3 linked regions of the Sus scrofa genome follow. The protein of the gene in region 1 interacts with the protein of each later gene in a pairwise test. Links are inferred from orthologs where the notes say so. Each region holds a gene or a part of one and is shown in the gene's direction. Other genes may lie near its edges.

Region 1 (2,859 bases):
GGGCAGACCTGTGCCCTGACAAGGCCAGGACCCTGCTGGCGGAAGGCAGACGGTGAGGCGAGGCTGGACCGCACACACGGTGGGGGAGTCAGGCTCAGGTCATCAGGGGCTGAAGATGCCAGTGCCTCTGGGCCCACAGGGAGGCCTGGGCAGGACATGGAGCAGGACGTGCTCCGGAGGGGCCACCCCAAGGGGGACGCTATGGTCAGGGAGGGAGGGACTCGGGCCGGCCCCTTGGAGGTGTGGGTGTAAGGCGCCTGGGAGAGGGTGACAGCCGTGGGACCCCTGCTGGCCTATGGACAGGCTGAAGCCCTGAGGGAGGGGAGTGCCCGAGCAGCCCAGGAGAGGAGTTGCAAAGGAGAGCAGAGGCCACGGAGCTGGGGGAACTGGGGCCCGAGAGGGGCCTTGACGTGTCAGCCCAGAACCTGTTCTGTGGCCGCTCAGGCCCAAGCCTGTGGCTGAGGGCTCAGGGCCGAGGCGGAGCTGCGCAGCCCCCTCTGGGGAGGCCCCTGCCTGCCTGTGCCCAGCGGGGCTCTGCAGCCTCCCCTGAGAGCCCCCACTCGAAGCCCCTCGCCCAGAGCCCAGCTCCATGGTGGTAGCTCTCGGCAGGTCTCTCCTTTACCGTTTTCTCTTTTTTCCCAAGCCTCTTACCTGTGTGATAGGATTTATTTAAAAGGGTCTTGTCTTGGAGTTCCCATCATAGCTCAGCGGTTAGCAAACCTGACTAGTATCCATGAGGTTGCAGGTTCGATCCCTGGCCTTGCTCAGTAGGTTAAGGATCCAGTGTTGCCATGAGCTGTGGTGTAAGTCACAGATGCGGCTTGGATCCGGTGTTGCTGTGCCTGTGGTGTAGGCTCGCAGCTGCAGCTCCGATTTGACCCCTGGCCTGGGAACCTCCATATGCCCGGAGTGCGGCCCTAAAAAGACAAAAGACCAGAAAAAAAAAAAAAAAGATTTTAAAATGGTCTTATCTTAATAACAAAGCTGTCGAGGAGCAGGAGAGCAGGCCCCTGGGACCCCCACCCCACCCGCGGGCCCTGGTGGCCCAGAGCCGGCCCGAGCCTGGTATTTCCTGGCTGTAGGGCTTCTGGAAGTTCATATTCCGAAGAAACCTGCCGTCGACCTCCCTCTGTCAGATGGACTTTGCCGTCCTGGGCCTTGGGGATTCCTCTTACGCCAAGTAAGTGAGGGCAGGGGGCTTCTGGCCGCCAGGGGCTATCCTGGGGCACGTGACCAGCCCCCAGGCTCCCCCTTTGGGACCTGACCCTGGCCATGCCCAGAGACCCTCCCTGGTGGGCTCCTCCCCCGCAGCCAGAGGCCTGGGGCTCCAAGGGCAGGCCGGCGGCAAGGGCTGGGGCTGGCTTGGGCCTCTTGCAGGGCAGGGGTGCTGTCTCGAGCCAGACTTCCTGGGCCTGAGCCAGTGTCCTCTGTCGACATGGGACTTAGGGCGACCAAGGCCCACCCTGCCCTTGCCCGCTTTTAGAAACAGGCTCTTTGAGATGTTCGGGCTTAGGCAGAGTGCAGAGAACAGCAAGAAGCGAATAGGTGGCTAGCATGGGAGACAGCAGCCCCAGGGCCACCCTGAGGCCGCCGCCTCTCCAGGCACAGCCGTGGGGCCTCCCGTCTCTGCTTTTTGCTTCTCCCTGTTTTCAGGACACGCTGTGTCCTAAGCAGAGAACAGGGGAGGGCCACGGGCTCTGCGTTCAAGGGCAAACAGCCTGAGTTCCTGAAGCGTTAAAACCCCGACTGTCAGCTCAGGGGCTAAGGGCGGGGCCCGCACTCGTCCAGGCGGACGGGACAGGAGGGCGGCCACGCATCCACGACCCGTCCACGGGGCTTGCGGTTCTGTTCTGTGCGTGAGGCAGACATCTGTCGCCGCAGGAGGGGTGAAGGGTCTCTGTGGACAGTGTCCTGGGAGGTCCTGTCATTCAGGGAGCCGCAGTGACAGCCAAGGACCCCAGGAAGAGCAGCTGGGCTGTCCCTTCCGCCTCCAGCGCGGGGCCCGTGCCAGCCTCGTCTCTCCACAGGTTTAACTTTGTGGCCAAGAAGCTGCACCGCCGGCTGCTGCAGCTGGGGGGCAGCGCCCTCCTGCCCGTGTGTCTGGGCGATGACCAGCACGAGCTGGGGTGAGTGTGGGAGGGGGCGCCCTCCCGCGGGGCCCAGCCACGAGCAGGGCCCCAGACCCGCATGCACCTGTGCTCCCTGCAGGCCTGATGCCACCATCGACCCCTGGCTACGCGACCTGTGGGAGAAGGTACTGGGGCCGCATGCTGTGCCCCTCGACCTTGGTGTGACCGCGCCCGCAGTCCCGTAAGTGTGGGGCGCCCCAGACCTGGCCTGGCACGAGGCTCCCAGGGGCGGCGCTTCAGGCCAGCGGGGGACTGACAGGTGTCCGCCCCCTTGTAGCTGGCCCTCCAGGTTCACCCTGCAGCTCCTTCAGGAGGCCCCCAGGAAGTGCTCGGAGGAGCTGAGCGTGGCCGGGACAGACCCTCAGGGACCGCCTTCAGAGCTGCAGCCCTTCCTGGCACCCATGGTCACCAACCAGAGGGTCACCGGCCCCTCACACTTTCAGGATGTCCGCCTGATTGAGTTTGACATCTCGGGCTCCGGGATCAGGTGAGGGTCTGTCCCCAGGCTGCGCAGGGCCCGGCCCCGTCGGGGGGCAGGGCTGTGGGCTGCGGGCCAGCAGGTCCTCGCCCAGAGCAGGCGCTCAGCAGGGTGGGGAGCTGAGATGATGGTGCGAGTCGGGGGCCACACCTCCACCCCGTGGACCCCCCGCCAGCCCTCCCTGGACACCTGTTTCCTTCCTCCGCAGTGTCCCCGGAGCCCCCAGCCTCCTCCCCCGCAGGCAGGCCCCTC
Region 2 (3,500 bases), on another chromosome or scaffold:
AGCTGTAGGTAAGGAAATCTTCACTTGAAAGACTGGAGTTTAACAGTGTTGAATCTTTAGGTATGTTTACGGTATCTCTCAGAGCAGGAAGTATCATTTGGAGATCATATTCCTATACTAAGCCTTATCCTTAGGCATAAATTATTGTGAGACTCTGATCCAACACATCTGAAGAAACTGTGTTCTTTGACCCATTAAGTAGTAAGGTGGAAGGGAACTGTCCTTTTGAAAATGGCTGGGTCCTTCATCAGGTGACTGGTTAAGCTGTGGTATATCCACACCATGGAAAACTCTGCAGCAGTGAAAAAGGAACAGACTGTTGCCATGTGCAACAACTTGGGTGAATCTCAAGGGAATCATGCTGAGTGCAAGAAATCCAATCTCAAAAGCTTATATGCTGTATGATTCCATTCAGGTCACGTTCTTGAAATGACAGAGAAGAACAGGTTGGCTGTCGTCTGGGGCTAAGAATAGGAGGGAGGGGGTACATGAGGCTCTAAAGGGGTAGTATGAGGGCTCCTTGTAGTGATGAACATTGTACACATGCACAGAAGTATATACAAAGCTGGTGAAAGCTGGATAAGCTCTGTGGACTCTCAGTGGCAATTTCTTGGTCTTTATATTGTGTGATAGTTGTGTAAGATGTTATTGTGGGGAGACAAGGTGAAGGGTCCTCGGAACCTCCCTGAACTTTTTTTTTAACTAACTTCTTGTGCATCTATAGTTATTTCAAACTAAAAAGTTAAAAAATGGTGACTGGGGAGTTCCCGTCGTGGCTAACAAACCTGACTAGTATCCGTGAGGATGAGGGTTCAATCCCTGGCTTTGCTCGGTTGGTTAAGGATCCGGCATTGCTGTGAGCTGTAGGTGGCAGGCATGGCTCGGATCCTGCATGGCTGTGGCTTGTGGCGTAGGCTGGCAGCCGTAGCTCTGATTTGACCCCTAGCCTGGGAACCTCCATGTGCCGCAGGAGCGGCCCAAGAAATGGCAAAAAAGACAAAAAAAAAAAAAAAAAAAAATGGTGACTAGAAGTCTGAGAGAGATGAGGTAAATATTGATTCACATGAAACTGAAGATAGGAGTCCAAGAAATAAAAACCTCTTTTGTTCCGGGGTGAAGCTGTCAGTCATTCAGTTCTAGAGTTTTAGCATTTTTAACTAGACTTCCCATCAACCTGTGATGACTTATTTTATCCAATAATGTAAGTGAAAGTATTCTGAAATGTATAAAGGTGTTTAGGTTGAAATCTAGACTTGTGATGTGTGGAGCAGATACTGCCTTCCTTGCTGAGATGTCAGCCGAGGGTGGTGAACACAGTGTCTATCAGAGGTATACAGAGCATGCTCGCGTACCTTACAGCTTCTAGCCTCCTGCTCAGTCACTATCCACCAGCCCCTGGAAGGTTAGGTATTTCCGAGAAGCAGAGAGTGATAAGAAACAATAATAATGGAATTACTGTCTATAACACTGAAGAGCATGGGTGAGAGCACTTTGCACAACCAAAAGGATTTGTCCAATTCAAATATTATCACTAAAATAGGGAGTTCCTGTTGTGGCTCAGTGGTTAACGTATCCAACTAGGAACCAGGAGATTGCAGGTTCAATCCCTGGCCTTGCTCAGTGGGTTAAGGATCCGGTGTTGCCATGAGCTGTGATGTAGGTTGCAGACGTGGCTTGGATCCCGCGTTGCTGTGGCTCTGGCATAGGCCGGCGGCTACAGCTCCGATTAGACCCCTAGCCTGGGAACCTCCATATGTCACAGGAGCTGCCCTAGAAAAGGCAAAAAGACCAAAAAAAAAAAAAAAATCACTAAAATATATGTACATTGAACAAAGCAGGTTAGTATTGTATTGCCTGCTAACCCAGATAGGATAGAGCCTTTATTATTTTTCCTGCTTTGACCTATAAAGCTACTAATTGGGGTTTTCCTCTTGGCAGTTAACAACAGCAAAGTGAAGACAGCGTCTAAGCTGTGTTCAGCCCTGACTCTTTCTGGTCTTGTGGAAGTAAAAGAGGTATGTTTGTAGATGACCTGATTTGCTAGGAATTTAAGTCCTGGGTAACTAAACCCAGCATCTCTTTGTCAGATGATAGAGAATCAGGGAGAAATAACAGCCCTGAAGGTGAGGTGATTAGTGTTGCTTAGACTAAGAAATAGGTTGAGCAATGCTTCGCATGTGAGATACAGGATGCCTCAAAGGACAAAACCGCTGGAAATAAACTCCTTTGAAGAGACGCAGCTTGGGCCCTGGGCCCTGCGGCATATTCTGATCTCAGTCGTGACCACTGATGCAGGCAGAAAGCGATACAGCTCTTAATACACAGATCTTAGGCCCAAGTGAAAGGCAGTCACCTGTATTTTCCTTAGCTTTTTGGTGGGAGGCCGGAATAGATTGGAGGGGGAATCCAGTTCTGACAGTTCATTAGAAATAGCAACACTAAATAGAGGTCTTGAAGGTTCTGCATTGTTCTCCCACGTTGAAATTTTCTTGTGTGAGAGGTAAGGGTTGTACCATGATAGCTGTTACACCACTGATCTGTACGTGCCCTAGAGCCTCAGTTTCTGTATGTTTTCCCTTTCTTATTTTTAAGTTAAAAGGTCCTCTGCTTTTTATTCTAAAATCTGAACTGTTCCTAAAAATTCAATAAAGACTGAAGAATCTAAAGTGACATCCCAGGCCTTGCTTACACTTTGCTCCCCAGAAGAAGCCACCAATACATTTTTTTAGTGTGGCTGTTCAGACTGCTTTTAACGTATTTACAAGTGTGTGGTGTGTGTGTGTGTGTGTGTGTATGCATATCCCCTTTTAATGTAAATAAGGTTGTATGTACACGTGTTCAGTCCCTAGCTCTTTTCCCTGCTTCAGGCTGTCCTTGCCATTTAGCCACCTCTATGTATTGCCCCACTTTCCTATCAATGATGGACCACTATTCGGTGCTATAGGTGGACTATGATTTATTTATTCCATGATTGTTGGACATAGAGGTGGCACCCCCACCTTTTTTCCTACCTTTACCATTTGCTGCTTCTTCCCAAGGAACATAGAAAGCATTTCCCGCTCCTGTGGTCCCTTTCCTGTGCTTGGTATTTCATCTCTAGCATCTTCACTGTGGGCAGGCTTCCCATTCGACAGCCTGTTCAGCATGTTTGACTCGTTTGATAGTCATAATTACAACCCCCACAATGACGAGCACAGGGCCTTGTACCTCACAGACAGATATTCGATAAATTCTTTAACTTTCCAAGGGGGAGGCTCAACGGAAACATGTAGAGAAAAGTTACACTCTCGGGTCCTGATTGGTAGGAACTTGGATGTGAGGCACCAGGTGAAGTGCGGGCTCTCCCGCTGTCTTACTCCATGGACGTGGGGCAGCATCACATCGTGGGTGGGGCTTGGCTCATCCTCTGCCGTCTTCAATTCCAGCTGCAGCGCGAGTCCTTGAGCCCCGAGGAGACTGGATCTGTCCAGGAACATCTGGGTTACCGCAGCGACAGCCTC
Region 3 (4,501 bases), on another chromosome or scaffold:
GCTGGGCTGATCAGGGTGGGTACCTACTTCCCCTCTTCATTGGGGACACATGGAAGATTGGCCAAAAGCTTGGTCAAAGAGGGCGAAACCAATCAGAGGCTAACCCTGGGGCAGGGCAGATGTTGAACAAACACATGTCAAGTAAAGTGAGATGTGAGAGAGTGTGGGCCCCTGTGGGACAGCAGGTGCTCTGCACCTAGGTGTGCTCCATTTAAACCTTCATTGCATCTCACAAGGGTAACCCTAGAAGGCAGCCCTGTTGGTATTCTTGTTAAAAGATAAACTGAGGCACAGTAAAAATGTCAAGACTTATTGATTTGAATCAGGTAGCACTGAACCGAATGTGTACGGGCAGAACCTAGGAGAGAGGTTTTTGCAGAGAAGATGTGGAAACGAGGAAATCATTTGATTGCCTGCCGCTTAAGTAACTGCCTTGTTTGGGAAAGTCTCATTGGCTATTTGGTTTTTTACTTTTCTTTTCTTTTTTTTTTTTTGCTTTTTAGGGCTGCACTTGCGGCATATGGAAGTTCTCAGGCTAGGGGTCAAATCTGAGCTACTGCTGCCAGCCAGACTATGCCACAGCCACAACAACGCAGGATCCGAGCCAAGTCTGCGACCTACACCACAGCTCACTGCAATGCCGGATCCTTGACCCGCCAAGCGAGGCCAGGGATCAAACCTGCGTCCTCTGGTTCCTAGTCAGATTTGTTCCACTGCACCATGACGGGGAACTCCCTCATTGGCTCTTTGGGATTGGTAAATTTCACTAGCTCAGATGAATCTGACCTAGGTTTAGGTTTGCTTGCATAGGCTACCAAAGGGTCAGAGCCTCCCCAGTCAAATGGCCGCCTTTCTCAATTACTTTAACATTCTCATTTTACAGATGAGGATGCTGAGGCATGGAGTGATGAAGTGACCTGTCCAAGACCACACATCTAGCATGGTCAAGGCTGCAACAGAGGCCACTACATTCAAAGGACATTACTCTGCATCCAGGAAAAAGAGAGAAGCGGACAAGGGATGAAGGAATGAAGGGAAAAAGAAATTAAGGCAAGAATGAGAAAATGAAAAGAACATGAATGAAAGAGTGAATATTTTATTATTTATTTTAATGGAATGATTGATACTTAATACATGTAACACATGCGAGCTATAAAACACACTAAGAGAATGAACACCCTTGAACCCACCACCATCCTAAGACAATAGAAAGTTACTAATAACTCATACCTATTTACATCGGCAGTTCTTTGAGCTGGCTGCACGTTGGATGCACCTGGGGAGCTTACACAACCACTGATACCCTCAGGGAGCTTGATGGGATTTCTCTGGAGTTTGGCTTGGACATCTGGATTGTTAAGAGCTCCCAGATGATTCTCATGTGGCTTATATATCCCCTTCTATATTCTTCTGATTTCCCCCAACCCTCATCCTTGTCTCCCCTATGTAGCCACCATTCTGAATTTGGTGTAGTGAACGGATTCTTTTCTTCTTTCCTTCCCAGTTTACAGGACCAGTGATGTTTGCGATTGAGCTCCCGCCCACCACGCGGGGGCGCCAGAGAGAAACACAACCTCTTTTTCTTTCCTTCAGAGCGGCCAGCAATCGCGCGGGAGGAAGTTTGGCCCTCGCCGCGCCCCGTCACTGGCCCGTTGCCCCGACAACGATAGGGGGAAAAGGCTGGTGGGTGCATCGCTTCCCCGGAGCGTCTTGCCGGCTGGGCTCGGCTTAGTTGGGGCGTACGGGAGCTCGGGCTGGGGCACTCTTCCGAATCTCCGGGGTGCAGAGAAACGTGAGTCTGGGGTTTGGGCTTGGCCGGGGTCCGGCGTTGGGGACGGGACCCGCAGAGCTCCGCTACAGTCAGGCCCGCGCTGGCGGGAAGCTCGCCCGCCTACCCGAGACGGCGATCGCTGGGCTTGCGGGGGTTCGACTTCCGGTCCTCACTTTGCTCCCTGCGCGCGATCTGGGTCCTACACTTGCCTGTGTAACCGCTTTTGTCATTCGTGGCCGTTGAGGCTGAGAGAGGGATTCGACTAGTTCAGGGAGCAGCCCATTTTGTTGGTGGCCGATCCAGGACTGGAATCCTACATTTCTTGATTCCTGGTGCAAAGTTTATCTGCAGGCGGATCACAGGACTAGGAAGAAAGTTTGTCAAGCCTGGCACAGTCTTAAGACAGATCATAAACTGGCAGCCTCAGGCTAAACTTGGCTCATAGAAGCAGATTATTTCCCTCCAGGTTTGGAGGGCTCTGAGTTTGCTTATTCAATAGACGCTCCTTAAGCACGAGCATAGCCAGACACTGTGTAGACCCTGGACATGGGGCAGCTTTTGGACCAGAGGAAGAGGTGTCCGGAGTCAGACTGGTTCTGCTGTCGGGTCTCCAGAGTGCTCCTTGATCTGCAAGTCGATTCCTCTCTGAGTTGTAGTTTCTCCATCTGTAAAATGAGGGGTCTCCCTTCTTGCTAATCCAGAGCACTTCCAGGTGTGACACCTGGATTGGGCTCCTCTTTGGGAGTTGCCAAAGGGATCCCAACAGGCAGCCTCTCGCTGTCTGCAAAGCCAGGGCCCTCCTCTCAGACTGACAGGAAATGGGATCCCCTAGCTTTTATAAAGTTTCTCTACTTCCTGGCCTTGTGATCTTGAGCAAGTTGTTTTACCTTTTTGAACTTAAGTTTTCTCACCTATCCAAATAATGGGGTGAGAGTAACATCAAAAAAGGCCATACATGTCATGAGCTTGGCACACAAACACATCTCTTAAGTTATCGTCTCTGTTACTTTAGGCAGTGCATAGAAGTCACCAGTGTGCTTGTCTAGCATTGCCAGGACTGGTCCTCTATGTCTGTGGTTCCCTTGATGACATCTAGCTCACAGCTGGGTGCAGTCCAGGCTTATTTAAATAGATGATTTGCAGCCCCAGTGGCAAGTCTTTATTTTTTTTAAATTGATATATAGTTGATTTACAATATTGTATTAGTTTTAGGTATACCGCACAATGATTCAGTTATATATTCTTTTTCAGATTCTTTTCTGTTATAGGTCATTATAAAACACTGAGTATAGCTTCCTGCACTATATACTAGGGCCTTGTTGTTTATCTCTTTTATACATAGTAGTATATATGCTAATCCTGAACTCCTAATTTATCCCCCCACCAAGTCATTTTTAAAGTGCTAATGACTGGGGGCCTACACAGGACTTTCAATTGGTCTGGATTAGGACCCAGCCTCTACCAGACCATCCCAATGTGCAGCCCAGGGGTGAGGCCCACTCATTAAAGGGGCAAGGGGTTGGCACAGGCTCATTTTCTTACCAATGCTGTTCTTCTCAGATGGCACTCCCCACACTGCCTTCCTCCTGGTGCAGCCGAAGGCTCCTGGATCAGCAGGCCGCACGACAGCGACACCGGGAGCAGGAGGCCCAGCTTCGGCAGCAGTGGGATGAGAACAGCCGCTACTTCAAGATGTCTGACATCTGCAGCTCCAAACAGGCAGAATGGAGCTCCAGGTCCTCCTACCAGCGGAGGTAACAGTGTGGTGACCACCACCATCTGTGGTTGGTGGGCCACTTTCTGGTCAGATGTGACCTGAGGATCTGGGGGAGTGTGGCTGGCCAGCATGTGTTCTTAAGGAATTTACTGGATTGCATGGATCACCTGCACGGTGATGTCTTTCCACTGGAAATTGAAAAAAAAAAGAAAAAGATCGTCAGTGAAGCAACACATTTGTACTGAAAAAGATAAAATGATGAGAAATGTATGTAGAATCTGCAAGTCTCCTTGAAACCCCCTATCCCCAGGAAGGAACCACAGTTAACTGGTGCACATCCCCACATACTTTTCTCCATTTGTGGTTGTGTGTAAATATATGTACATACTGATACCCATTTTTATAGAAATACATATAAAAACATGGAAGTTAAAAGCATAGGCTTTGGGAGTTCCCGTCATGGCACAGCAGAAACAAATCCAACTAGGAACCATGAGGTTGTGGGTCTGATCCCTGGCCTCAGTCAGTGGGTTAAGAATCTGGTGTTGCCGTGAGCTGTGGTGTAGGCCACAGATGTGGCTCGGATCCCGCATTGCTGTGGCTGTGGCATAGGCCGGCAGCAACAGCTCCGATTCAACCCTTAGCCTGGGAACCTCCATATGCTGTGGGTACAACCTTGAAAAGACAAAAGACAAAAAAACAAAACAAAACAACAACATAGGCTTTGGAGTCAGACAGACCTAGATAGAAATCCTGACTGTCACTTGCTATATGAATGAACCTCAGTTTCCTCATCAGTGAAGTGGGACTAAAACAGAACCTACTTTACAGGATTTGTGTGATGATTCGTATAAAATTGTCTGGGTTAATATAAAACCTGGTACATGGTATTGCTCAAATATTAGCTAGTCCCTTTAGCACATGCATATGTAAGCTCACTATACATTTTCTTCTTGCAAAAATAAGATTCTATAATGTCTAGTGTTCTGTCACCTGCTCTCTTTCCTTTGGCC

The links.
Region 2: the proteins of NDOR1 (region 1) and CIAPIN1 interact in binary tests that used the Homo sapiens proteins (3 or more experiments, as listed by UniProt). The two-hybrid records come from large-scale screens. The link is inferred for Sus scrofa from reciprocal best matches to the Homo sapiens genes NDOR1 and CIAPIN1.
Region 3: the proteins of NDOR1 (region 1) and TCHP interact in binary tests that used the Homo sapiens proteins (3 or more experiments, as listed by UniProt). The two-hybrid records come from large-scale screens. The link is inferred for Sus scrofa from reciprocal best matches to the Homo sapiens genes NDOR1 and TCHP.

The regions. Positions count from the first base shown.
Region 1 is NW_018084833.1:692,282-695,140, reverse strand, and holds part of NDOR1 (NADPH-dependent diflavin oxidoreductase 1), read left to right. Parts: intron 1-1,082; coding exon 1,083-1,180; intron 1,181-2,027; coding exon 2,028-2,126; intron 2,127-2,208; coding exon 2,209-2,310; intron 2,311-2,406; coding exon 2,407-2,616; intron 2,617-2,859. UniProt on the Homo sapiens protein: NADPH-dependent reductase which is a central component of the cytosolic iron-sulfur (Fe-S) protein assembly (CIA) machinery.
Region 2 is NC_010448.4:19,363,086-19,366,585, reverse strand, and holds part of CIAPIN1 (anamorsin), read left to right. Parts: coding exon 1-8; intron 9-1,938; coding exon 1,939-2,015; intron 2,016-3,425; coding exon 3,426-3,500. UniProt on the Homo sapiens protein: Component of the cytosolic iron-sulfur (Fe-S) protein assembly (CIA) machinery required for the maturation of extramitochondrial Fe-S proteins.
Region 3 is NC_010456.5:41,074,782-41,079,282, reverse strand, and holds the start of TCHP (trichoplein keratin filament-binding protein), read left to right. Parts: upstream 1-1,638; 5' UTR 1,639-1,792; intron 1,793-3,331; coding exon 3,332-3,525; intron 3,526-4,501. UniProt on the Homo sapiens protein: Tumor suppressor which has the ability to inhibit cell growth and be pro-apoptotic during cell stress. Inhibits cell growth in bladder and prostate cancer cells by a down-regulation of HSPB1 by inhibiting its phosphorylation.